3 linked regions of the Saccharomyces cerevisiae S288C genome follow. The protein of the gene in region 3 interacts with the protein of the main gene of each other region in a biochemical or structural test. Each region holds a gene or a part of one and is shown on either strand. Other genes may lie near its edges.

The links.
Region 1: the proteins of TWF1 (region 3) and CAP2 form a complex in vitro, tested with the Saccharomyces cerevisiae proteins (2 studies listed by BioGRID).
Region 2: the proteins of TWF1 (region 3) and ACT1 form a complex in vitro, tested with the Saccharomyces cerevisiae proteins (4 studies listed by BioGRID).

Annotation. Positions count from the first base shown.
Region 1 is NC_001141.2:288,726-292,058, reverse strand, and holds CAP2 (F-actin-capping protein subunit beta), read left to right. Parts: upstream 1-1,969; coding exon 1,970-2,833; downstream 2,834-3,333. Other genes in the region: cAMP-dependent protein kinase regulatory subunit BCY1, read left to right, coding at 390-1,640; casein kinase 2 catalytic subunit CKA1, read left to right, coding at 3,151-3,333. UniProt on the Saccharomyces cerevisiae protein: F-actin-capping proteins bind in a Ca(2+)-independent manner to the fast growing ends of actin filaments (barbed end) thereby blocking the exchange of subunits at these ends.
Region 2 is NC_001138.5:52,760-56,524, forward strand, and holds ACT1 (actin), read right to left. Parts: upstream 1,938-3,765; coding exon 1,928-1,937; intron 1,619-1,927; coding exon 501-1,618; downstream 1-500. Other genes in the region: YFL040W (uncharacterized protein), read left to right, coding at 1-213; Rab family GTPase YPT1, read right to left, coding at 2,607-3,227; TUB2 (beta-tubulin), read left to right, coding at 3,577-3,765. UniProt on the Saccharomyces cerevisiae protein: Actins are highly conserved proteins that are involved in various types of cell motility and are ubiquitously expressed in all eukaryotic cells.
Region 3 is NC_001139.9:640,023-643,896, forward strand, and holds TWF1 (twinfilin TWF1), read left to right. Parts: upstream 1-1,987; coding exon 1,988-2,986; downstream 2,987-3,874. Other genes in the region: tubulin-binding prefolding complex subunit PAC10, read right to left, coding at 1-349; YGR079W (uncharacterized protein), read left to right, coding at 698-1,810; SLX9 (Slx9p), read right to left, coding at 3,126-3,758. UniProt on the Saccharomyces cerevisiae protein: Actin-binding protein involved in motile and morphological processes. Inhibits actin polymerization, likely by sequestering G-actin.

The DNA of each region.
Region 1 (3,333 bases), on a different chromosome or scaffold from region 3:
TTCGTGTTATACCCGCCACTTTTGTTCTGCCTGATAATATATTGATTATACTGTGCTCGGATTCCGACCTCTTCTTTGTTGCAGAAGCCATAAGCTGAACTTATTGCATTTGCTCAAGTGCATTTATTATGGCGCCGCGCCGCCGCTCTCCAAAATTCTTGTCCTTCCTCGTTTTGCTGGCAAGGAGCAAAACGAAGAGGAAGGTAGAAAAGAGAAAATTTGAACAAACAGGGAAAAGGGAAAGAGAAAAAGGGACACTTTACGCTTTCCTCGACTAAGTCAAGCGATCGCTATCATCACATCCATTACACGCATTTCACGCATACATAAATAGGAAGATCATTTACAACAAGCAGATTATTTTCAAAAGACAACAGTAAGAATAAACGATGGTATCTTCTTTGCCCAAGGAATCGCAAGCCGAATTGCAACTGTTCCAGAACGAAATCAACGCCGCTAATCCGTCCGACTTTCTTCAGTTCTCCGCCAACTATTTCAATAAAAGGCTGGAACAACAGAGAGCGTTCCTCAAGGCCAGGGAGCCTGAATTTAAGGCAAAGAACATTGTTCTATTTCCGGAACCAGAGGAGTCATTTTCCAGACCTCAATCAGCTCAATCTCAATCAAGATCCAGATCGAGTGTTATGTTCAAATCCCCCTTTGTGAACGAGGACCCACACTCCAACGTGTTTAAAAGTGGGTTTAATTTAGACCCGCACGAACAGGACACTCACCAGCAAGCACAGGAAGAACAACAGCATACTAGAGAAAAGACATCAACTCCTCCACTCCCAATGCACTTCAACGCCCAAAGGCGTACTTCTGTTAGTGGTGAGACCTTACAACCAAACAATTTTGACGATTGGACTCCAGATCACTATAAGGAAAAGTCCGAGCAGCAATTGCAAAGACTGGAAAAATCGATCCGTAATAACTTTCTGTTCAACAAGCTGGATTCCGACTCAAAAAGGCTGGTCATAAATTGTCTGGAGGAGAAGTCCGTCCCCAAAGGTGCTACGATAATCAAGCAAGGTGACCAAGGGGACTACTTCTATGTCGTCGAAAAGGGTACTGTTGACTTCTACGTCAACGACAACAAGGTCAACTCTTCCGGGCCAGGCTCCAGTTTCGGGGAACTTGCTCTTATGTACAACAGCCCTCGTGCTGCCACCGTTGTAGCAACCTCCGACTGTTTGTTGTGGGCTCTAGACAGGCTCACCTTCAGAAAAATACTTTTGGGCAGCTCTTTCAAGAAGAGACTCATGTATGACGATCTTTTGAAGAGCATGCCAGTTTTGAAGAGTTTGACTACGTACGACCGTGCCAAACTTGCCGATGCACTGGATACCAAGATCTACCAGCCGGGTGAAACAATCATTCGCGAGGGTGATCAAGGGGAGAACTTTTATTTAATTGAGTACGGAGCTGTGGACGTCTCTAAGAAGGGCCAAGGTGTCATAAATAAACTGAAAGACCATGATTATTTCGGTGAAGTGGCCTTGCTAAACGATTTGCCCAGACAGGCCACTGTGACTGCTACAAAGAGAACCAAAGTTGCCACATTGGGGAAAAGTGGTTTTCAACGTTTACTGGGTCCTGCAGTAGACGTATTAAAGCTCAATGATCCTACAAGACATTAAGTAAAAAGGGGAAGCGATCTTAAATCCACATGAATTTCCTTTCTCTTTTTCTTCTTCTTCTGTTCCCTTTTTCTTTCTTCTTCCTTCAACGTCTACGTAAATATAATGTATAACATCTCCACTTTCCTTTCCCTTATAGCGTTATGTTACCTGTTTAAACTCTAAATTCTTCATCTACTACTGCTGTTACTACATGTATATATGTTCATTTTTTTTTTTTTTTTTCACCACGGAAAACGTAAAAATGAGAGCATTTGTAACAAATAAAGGAGAACTGTTCAATCAAGTGACATACAAAAACTCTCTCCAACTCTACAATCACCACCGTAATGTCTGATGCTCAATTCGATGCTGCTTTAGATCTTCTTAGGAGGCTAAATCCTACCACGTTACAGGAGAATCTAAACAACTTGATCGAATTACAACCAAATTTGGCACAAGATTTACTATCTTCAGTAGACGTTCCCCTATCCACACAGAAAGATTCCGCCGATTCAAACCGGGAGTACTTATGCTGCGACTATAATCGTGATATTGATTCGTTCAGATCGCCTTGGTCGAACACTTATTACCCAGAACTATCCCCAAAGGATCTACAAGACAGCCCCTTTCCCTCAGCCCCTTTAAGAAAATTGGAGATCTTAGCCAATGACTCTTTCGACGTTTACAGAGATCTCTATTATGAAGGCGGTATCTCCAGCGTGTACCTCTGGGACCTCAATGAAGAAGATTTCAATGGGCACGATTTTGCAGGGGTAGTGCTTTTCAAAAAAAACCAATCAGATCACAGTAATTGGGACAGTATCCATGTTTTTGAAGTTACAACATCTCCTTCTTCTCCCGACAGTTTCAACTATAGAGTCACCACTACAATCATTCTGCACTTGGACAAAACAAAAACTGACCAGAATTCTCATATGATGTTATCCGGGAACCTGACAAGACAGACCGAAAAGGACATCGCTATTGATATGTCCCGTCCATTAGATGTTATTTTCACATCACATGTCGCTAATTTGGGTTCCTTAATTGAGGACATTGAGTCTCAGATGAGAAATCTATTGGAAACTGTTTATTTCGAAAAGACAAGAGATATCTTCCACCAAACAAAGAACGCAGCCATTGCTTCCTCTGCTGAGGAAGCGAATAAAGACGCACAGGCAGAGGTAATCAGAGGTTTACAGTCTTTATAGAAATATTTACATGTATCGCTGGTATATCATATAAATACATACAGCAGCACTAAGTGGTAGAAAAGCGCTATCAAAAATCACTCGGAACGAACACTGAAGAAAAAGCGAAAAATCAAAAATATGACCAACGCTTGGAAAATTTCAGTAGCAATTAGACGAACCTCGCAGTCCTGTAGTAAAACGGATTAAGGGACTTCATATACTGTTGATACTCGGTGTATTGCAATTACCTACTAGGAGTTTTCTGAATAGGGACTTAAGAAGTCAAATATACAGACAAAAATAGGGGGTTGTAGAAGGAATATTTGATTCGAACTATGAAATGCAGGGTATGGTCAGAGGCTCGTGTTTATACGAATATCAATAAACAAAGAACCGAGGAATATTGGGATTATGAAAATACTGTAATTGATTGGTCCACAAATACAAAGGACTATGAAATTGAAAATAAAGTTGGGCGAGGAAAATACTCCGAGGTTTTCCAAGGTGTCAAATTAGAC
Region 2 (3,765 bases), on a different chromosome or scaffold from region 3:
GTTTTGATTTGGTTCCCAGAAACAAAGGGTATGAGCATAGAAGATATTGATAAATTCTTCGAATTTGAGAGTAAAGAGGGCACCAATTTACATGGGGAAAAGGGTATCAAAACGCCGGACTCAAATTCTAATGGCGGTTCTACAAGATCCTCCCAAGAAGGGCAATTGCATAAACCTATAAAACTGAAAAGCGATGAAGAGATGATCATATGATACACGGTCCAATGGATAAACATTTTTTATCAACACTATGATATATAAATATAATAGTTTTTCGTATATATATTCCTTTTTTTGGTCAATTTTTGAAATTTTCGTAGAAAAGGGAGAGACAAAACACATTATATCAATGAAAACGTACAAAAAGTAGATAAAGTCAGTGCTTAAACACGTCTTTTCCTTAAAAATACTTTATTATTTTTATTTTATTGAGAGGGTGGTTTAAAAATAGAAATAGAGAGAGAGGTACATACATAAACATACGCGCACAAAAGCAGAGATTAGAAACACTTGTGGTGAACGATAGATGGACCACTTTCGTCGTATTCTTGTTTTGAGATCCACATTTGTTGGAAGGTAGTCAAAGAAGCCAAGATAGAACCACCAATCCAGACGGAGTACTTTCTTTCTGGAGGAGCAATGATCTTGACCTTCATGGAAGATGGAGCCAAAGCGGTGATTTCCTTTTGCATTCTTTCGGCAATACCTGGGAACATGGTGGTACCACCGGACATAACGATGTTACCGTATAATTCCTTACGGACATCGACATCACACTTCATGATGGAGTTGTAAGTAGTTTGGTCAATACCGGCAGATTCCAAACCCAAAACAGAAGGATGGAACAAAGCTTCTGGGGCTCTGAATCTTTCGTTACCAATAGTGATGACTTGACCATCTGGAAGTTCGTAGGATTTTTCAATTGAAGAAGATTGAGCAGCGGTTTGCATTTCTTGTTCGAAGTCCAAGGCGACGTAACATAGTTTTTCCTTGATGTCACGGACAATTTCTCTTTCAGCAGTGGTGGAGAAAGAGTAACCACGTTCACTCAAGATCTTCATCAAGTAGTCAGTCAAATCTCTACCGGCCAAATCGATTCTCAAAATGGCGTGAGGTAGAGAGAAACCAGCGTAAATTGGAACGACGTGAGTAACACCATCACCGGAATCCAAAACAATACCAGTAGTTCTACCGGAAGAGTACAAGGACAAAACGGCTTGGATGGAAACGTAGAAGGCTGGAACGTTGAAAGTTTCAAACATAATTTGAGTCATCTTTTCTCTGTTTGATTTAGGGTTCATTGGAGCTTCAGTCAAAAGAACAGGGTGTTCTTCTGGGGCAACTCTCAATTCGTTGTAGAAGGTATGATGCCAGATCTTTTCCATATCGTCCCAGTTGGTGACAATACCGTGTTCAATTGGGTAACGTAAAGTCAAGATACCTCTCTTGGATTGAGCTTCATCACCAACGTAGGAGTCTTTTTGACCCATACCGACCATGATACCTTGGTGTCTTGGTCTACCGACGATAGATGGGAAGACAGCACGAGGAGCGTCGTCACCGGCAAAACCGGCTTTACACATACCAGAACCGTTATCAATAACCAAAGCAGCAACCTCTAAACATATAATATAGCAACAAAAAGAATGAAGCAATCGATGTTAGTACATGAGACTTAGTAACAGTAGCAAATAAAAGAAGAATATCACTATCACTTATCACGAAAATATTTCAGTTTTTTTTTTTTTTCCAAATTTCAAGCCCCTATTTATTCCAATAATATCGTGGTTATTACAGATCAGTCAATATAGGAGGTTATGGGAGAGTGAAAAATAGTAAAAAAAGGTAAAAGAGAAATCTCTCGAGCAATTGGGACCGTGCAATTCTTCTTACAGTTAAATGGGATGGTGCAAGCGCTAGAACATACCAGAATCCATTGTTAATTCAGTAAATTTTCGATCTTGGGAAGAAAAAAGCAGTAAGCGTGAAAAATCTAAAAGCTGATGTAGTAGAAGATCCTATTCTTTAACAAAGATTGACCTTTTCTTTTTCTTCTTGGTTTGAGTAGAAAGGGGAAGGAAGAATACAAGAGAGAGGAAAAAAAGGAAGATAAAAAGAGAGCGTGATATAAATGAATATATATTAAACAAGAGAGATTGGGAAGGAAAGGATCAAACAAACCCAAAAATATTTCAAAAAGGAGAGAGAGAGGCGAGTTTGGTTTCAAAACGGTTTATTTATTTATGCAAGAGGACGTGGAAGAAAAAGAAGAAGGAAGAAAAAAATTTGAAAGAAAAAAACGCGTGGCGGGTAAAGAAGAAAATGGAAAATAGAGGCCGGGTGACAGAGAAATATTGAGGGTTAATTGGAAAATATGTTAGGGTGAGGCATATGTTTTTAAGGGTTTTGAGGATCCGATAAGGAAGAATGTAGGTTAAATGTTGTGCATTAATTGCTGTGGCAGCTTACCCGCTTCCCCACACATTTTGGTAGTATCTGTCCTCTTGTTATTGTTACTGTAATTGTGTATATATGTTCTCGCGTGTGTCTTATTTACTTATTTAGTTATTATATTATATGGGTCTGCAAGGTAGAGGCGCGCTTGTTCAACAGCAGCCCCCACCGGTGTTGGTTAAACTCTGTCCCTTCAGGTTGACGTTCCCTTTGTCTTCCTTCTTCTGAGTGGTTTCGTTCAGGTTTTGTTGGGACATACTTTCCTTGATTTGTCTAGCCATGGTTAAAAACGCATCCTCGACGTTGGTGGAGTCCAAAGCACTAGTCTCTAAGAACGGCATCTTATTCGCGTCCGCAAATTCCTTTGCCACGTCATATTCCACGACACGCTTGTCCTTTAAATCACACTTGTTACCTACCAATAGCTTCAACACTGTTGAGGTTGCATACCGATCAATCTCTTGCAGCCACATCTTCACGCCGTTGAAGGATTCTTGGTCAGTGACATCATACACGATAATGATCCCATGCGAACCACGGTAGTAAGATGAAGTGATAGTACGGAAACGTTCTTGACCTGCAGTGTCCCAAATCTGTAGCTTTACAGTCTTGCCGTCCAGTTCTACAGTCTTAATCTTGAAGTCCACTCCAATTGTGGAGATGTAGTCGTTGGTATATGTGTCGTCCGAAAACCTCAAAAGTAAACAGGACTTCCCGACACCGGAATTCCCGATCAACAGCAGTTTGAACAGGTAATCGTACTCGCTATTCATATTAGTGCTTTTCTTGTTTTATTTATTTCAACCTGGGCCTAACAGTAAAGATATCCTCCTCAAAACTGGTGCACTTAATCGCTGAATTTGTTCTGGCTTCTCTTCTTTTTCTTTATTCCCCCCATGGGCCAAAAAAAATAGTACTATCAGGAATTTGGCGCCGGGTCACGATATACGTGTACAGTGACCTAGGCGACGCCACAAGGAAAAAGGAAAAAAACAGAAAAAACAACAAAAACTAAAACAAACACGAAAACTTTAATAGATCTAAGTGAAGTAGTGGTGAGGCAATTGGAGTGACATAGCAGCTACTACAACTACAAAAGCAAAATCTCCACAAAGTAATATAATGAGAGAAATCATTCATATCTCGACAGGTCAGTGTGGTAACCAAATTGGTGCTGCATTCTGGGAAACTATCTGTGGTGAGCACGGTTTGGATTTCAATGGGACATATCACGGCCATGACGATATCCAGAAGGAGAGACTGAACGTGTACTTCAACGAGGCATCTTCTGGGAAGTGGGTTCCAAGATCT
Region 3 (3,874 bases):
CCGCCCGATCTTCCGGTATATCAACCTGAGCCTTTGTGTAGAGCGTGTCGTTCAATTGGTAGTGCAACAGGATAGGTTCATCGCTCTCATCGCCCTCGTCGCTGTGATTGCGCAGACTTTGGCATATTTTTAATGTGTTTTCCAAGTCCGGGATTCTAGTCTTCAGCTGCTTTATCGTAGCCAATTTAGATTCCTGCATAAATTTGTACTTAGAAAGCCGTTCTTGGAACTTATTGAAGCACAATTCGAAGTCGCTTGGGTCCTTAATTATTTCGTTGACATTTTCGATGAATGGAGCCTGCGGTATGCCTCTGGCATTCTTTTCCGTGGAGTTGAACAGTGTGTCCATAATAACCGTAGTATCTGTTATATATGTGCGTACAGTTTTCTGCAGTAAATGTTGTCTACAATTTATAGCCTCTACAATAGTGTTAAACTAGATTTTTTCACTTTCTTTTCTGACCAGTTCTGCAAAATGATCGAAGAAACGAAACAAATCATGTGTTACCCGTCCTGCACAATCATGAGTGCCTGCGGTTTCCATATTGGAACGGCACCTTCCTTTTTTGGAAGTCACGTTCCTGCAGCGCGTTTCTTTTTTTTTTTTTTTTTTTTTTTTATTTTTCGGTTTTTTTCGCACGTTTCTTTTTGGTGAGCGAGAAAGCTCGTTGCCTCCTAATATAAAGGATGAGATGAGATGAGCAGTGCCGCAAATGAGGGATGTGTTTATTTGTTCATTGTCGTTTTGCGATTATCTTCGTTTTCATGTGTTAACTCATTCATTCATTCATTTACTCGTTCACGCACACGCAGCAGTTATTCCCTCGACGAGCGTTCACTTGTATCATATAGCATAGTTTACGTAGCAATGAATAAAAGCAGCAAGGCATTTCAGGTACCGAATAAGGTCATCACCAAGGAGGATATTACTCCCTTGTCCAGATCGCACACAAAGAAAGCGGACACTCGCGGGACAGCAGATGGTAAAAACACCACAGCCAGTGCAGTCGAGGCCACCCCAATCATCATCACCACTGCTCGTTCGATAGATACTGCCGGTTCACTATCTGAGAACGCCACCGAGGACGATGGCACCCAAAACGGAGATTTACACGATGATGACGATGATGACGACCTCGAAAGTACGCTCGGCTATAGTTCTGAGCCTGATCCTCTCTTCTCCCCATGCCACCAGCCTTCCTTCACCAACAGCACATTTAGTTACAGTGCGGACAATGAACTACCCATGGAGGAAAATCACAACAAGAATAATTTCCACGATAGCAGCGAGAGCAGTATCTTTCTACCACAGATACAGCAATCATTCTTTTTCGGCGACAATAGCAAGAGTGACGCAAATAATACGGACTTCTGGAAGGAAGTAAATGGCACTGCAGAAGAGGCCATTTGCCTGCAGGAGACAAGACAAAGAAAATGCTCCCTCGTGGCTCTGCATCCAGGCGACGCCACCACGAGTTCGAACGACACATTGGGAATAGAGGACTTCATCAAAGATGATATCAACAGTGCTGAAGCCATGGAACCCTCCCCATCTTCATCACCATCTTCCTCCCTTCTTGATAATTTGGACTACAATATCAAGTTATTGTGCTACAGAGACAATGAGGGCAAGTTCACCTTGAAAAAAAGGAAGTTTTTGAAGAATTCCCTGCGCTCATCCTCTGCAATTTCTAAAAAGTGGAAACCCTTGTCTAAAAGAGATAAGCTGTTGAAGAGGGCCATAAGAAGAAAGAGTGGTGTTTGCCAGACGTTATCAGCTGGTTTTGGTATCGGTGAATTCATGTTGTAATAACAGTACTATTAACAGTACAATAAATAGATTCTTTTTATACAGTGTTAGGGTAACTTGTTTTTGTAGGATTTGAAAAATATGTCATTATAAGATCTATATCTTTTACTATTTGGACAAGTTGGCTAATTTGATAGGCAATTGAATAAGAAGGAACTCTGTATCTCAACACATCACATGTCTACTCAATCCGGTATAGTCGCAGAACAAGCCTTGCTGCATTCTCTGAATGAAAATCTTTCAGCAGATGGCATCGTCATCATTATAGCCAAAATTTCCCCTGATTCTACCTCGGTACATCAAACGCAAGTCGCACGTAGCTTCGAGGAGCTGGTACAGTTGGCATCACAAGAAAGAGAACCGTTGTACATCTTCTATAAGCCGGAAGGGCTTGATAAGTACTTCTTTGTGTCATTCATCCCCGATGGTTCTCCGGTAAGATCAAGAATGCTTTATGCCTCGACGAAGAACACTCTGGCAAGACAGGTAGGTTCAAACTCTTTATCCACCGAACAGCCATTGATCACAGATGCACAGGACTTGGTGGATTTGAAAAATTTTGATAGTGCCCGTCCTGCTGGCCAGAATAAGCCCTTGACACATGATGAAGAAATGCAAATCGAAATCAATAAGCAACAGGCACTTTTAAGGAAAAACACATCCGTCAAGTTGGTTTCTCAGGACAGTGCTTCGCCTTTATCGTTAACTTTCAGGGTCAATTCTGAGAAACCTATCAATGAAATACTGGATAGCGAGGGTAAAAATTTAATCATATTTCAAATCGATCCCTCGAACGAAACCATCCAGATCGTGCAATCTGATACATGTCCCTCCGTAGATGAACTGTACATTGACTTGCCCGGGCCAAGTTACACGATTTTCAGGCAGGGTGATTCAAGTTTCTTTATCTACTCTTGTCCCTCTGGCAGCAAAGTCAAAGATAGAATGATATATGCTTCTAACAAGAATGGATTTATCAACTACTTGAAAAATGATCAAAAAATCGCATTTAGTAAAGTGGTAGAAATTGGCGATTTTGTGGAACTAGACAAGTCCTTACTTATGGCAACAAATAAAGAAGATAGCCTCGATCATGGATCCAATCCAGATCTCCCAAACAAAAGCAATTTGAAATTCAACAAACCAAAGGGCCCATTGAGGAAAAGAAGAACATAGAGATAGAAATGGCATCTATATATGTGTGACCAACAATACATACGTTTTTATTCTTCTAAATATGAAACTGAATGTTTTTCTAGGTTTGCTGGAATATATATTACACTGGCAAAAATTGTTATGCTATGCTATTTAATGTTCATTGTTTTTGCAGCTTGATAACCTCTCTTAAGGCGCCAAATGGATTTTTTTGGAAATCTTGATTGGTTAGGACCTGATTGAATCTTGCAGTTTCGTTAGCAGCCAATGCCTTTGCACCCTTTTGGTTCCTGATATTTGGCTGATTCTTTTTTATCCTAACAGAACCAGGTTCTATCTTTTTCAAGTTCATTTCCTTTGTGTCCACAAACCTTATTTTAGAATCCATGTCGATGTCATCATCGTTATTCATGTCTTTGCTACTATTTTCAATAATGCCCCGTAAATCCTTTTCTTGCTCCAAAGAAGTGAGCAGATCTTGCATTCTTGGTTTTAGTTCTTCTCTTAGCTTTCTTTTCCTACGTCTAATGGAAGATTTAGAAATACCATCAAAATTGGCAGCTATGCCATCGTTAAGTGTGGATTTCCCCTTCAAGTTAGATAAGAAAGTATTCTGTCTGTTAAGTAGCTTTTCCTTTTTAGTTTCTTTAGGTTGGTGCAGAAAGGCCCTTGGATCAGATTCTATGTCATAACTCTCGTCCAGAATGCCATTGTTCGCTACGTCTGGTCCAAAATTTTGACTATTTCTTGCACTTACTTTGCTTCTAAGCGTGTTTCTCTTCTTAGCAACCATTATCGCTTATCTATGCTTCTATATTCAATGGATTTCCTGTCTCTTATCTCTGCTCATCGAGTCTGTAATGCTTGAGTATGTAAAACATGAAAAATTTGCAGTGCGTCACCCCGTTC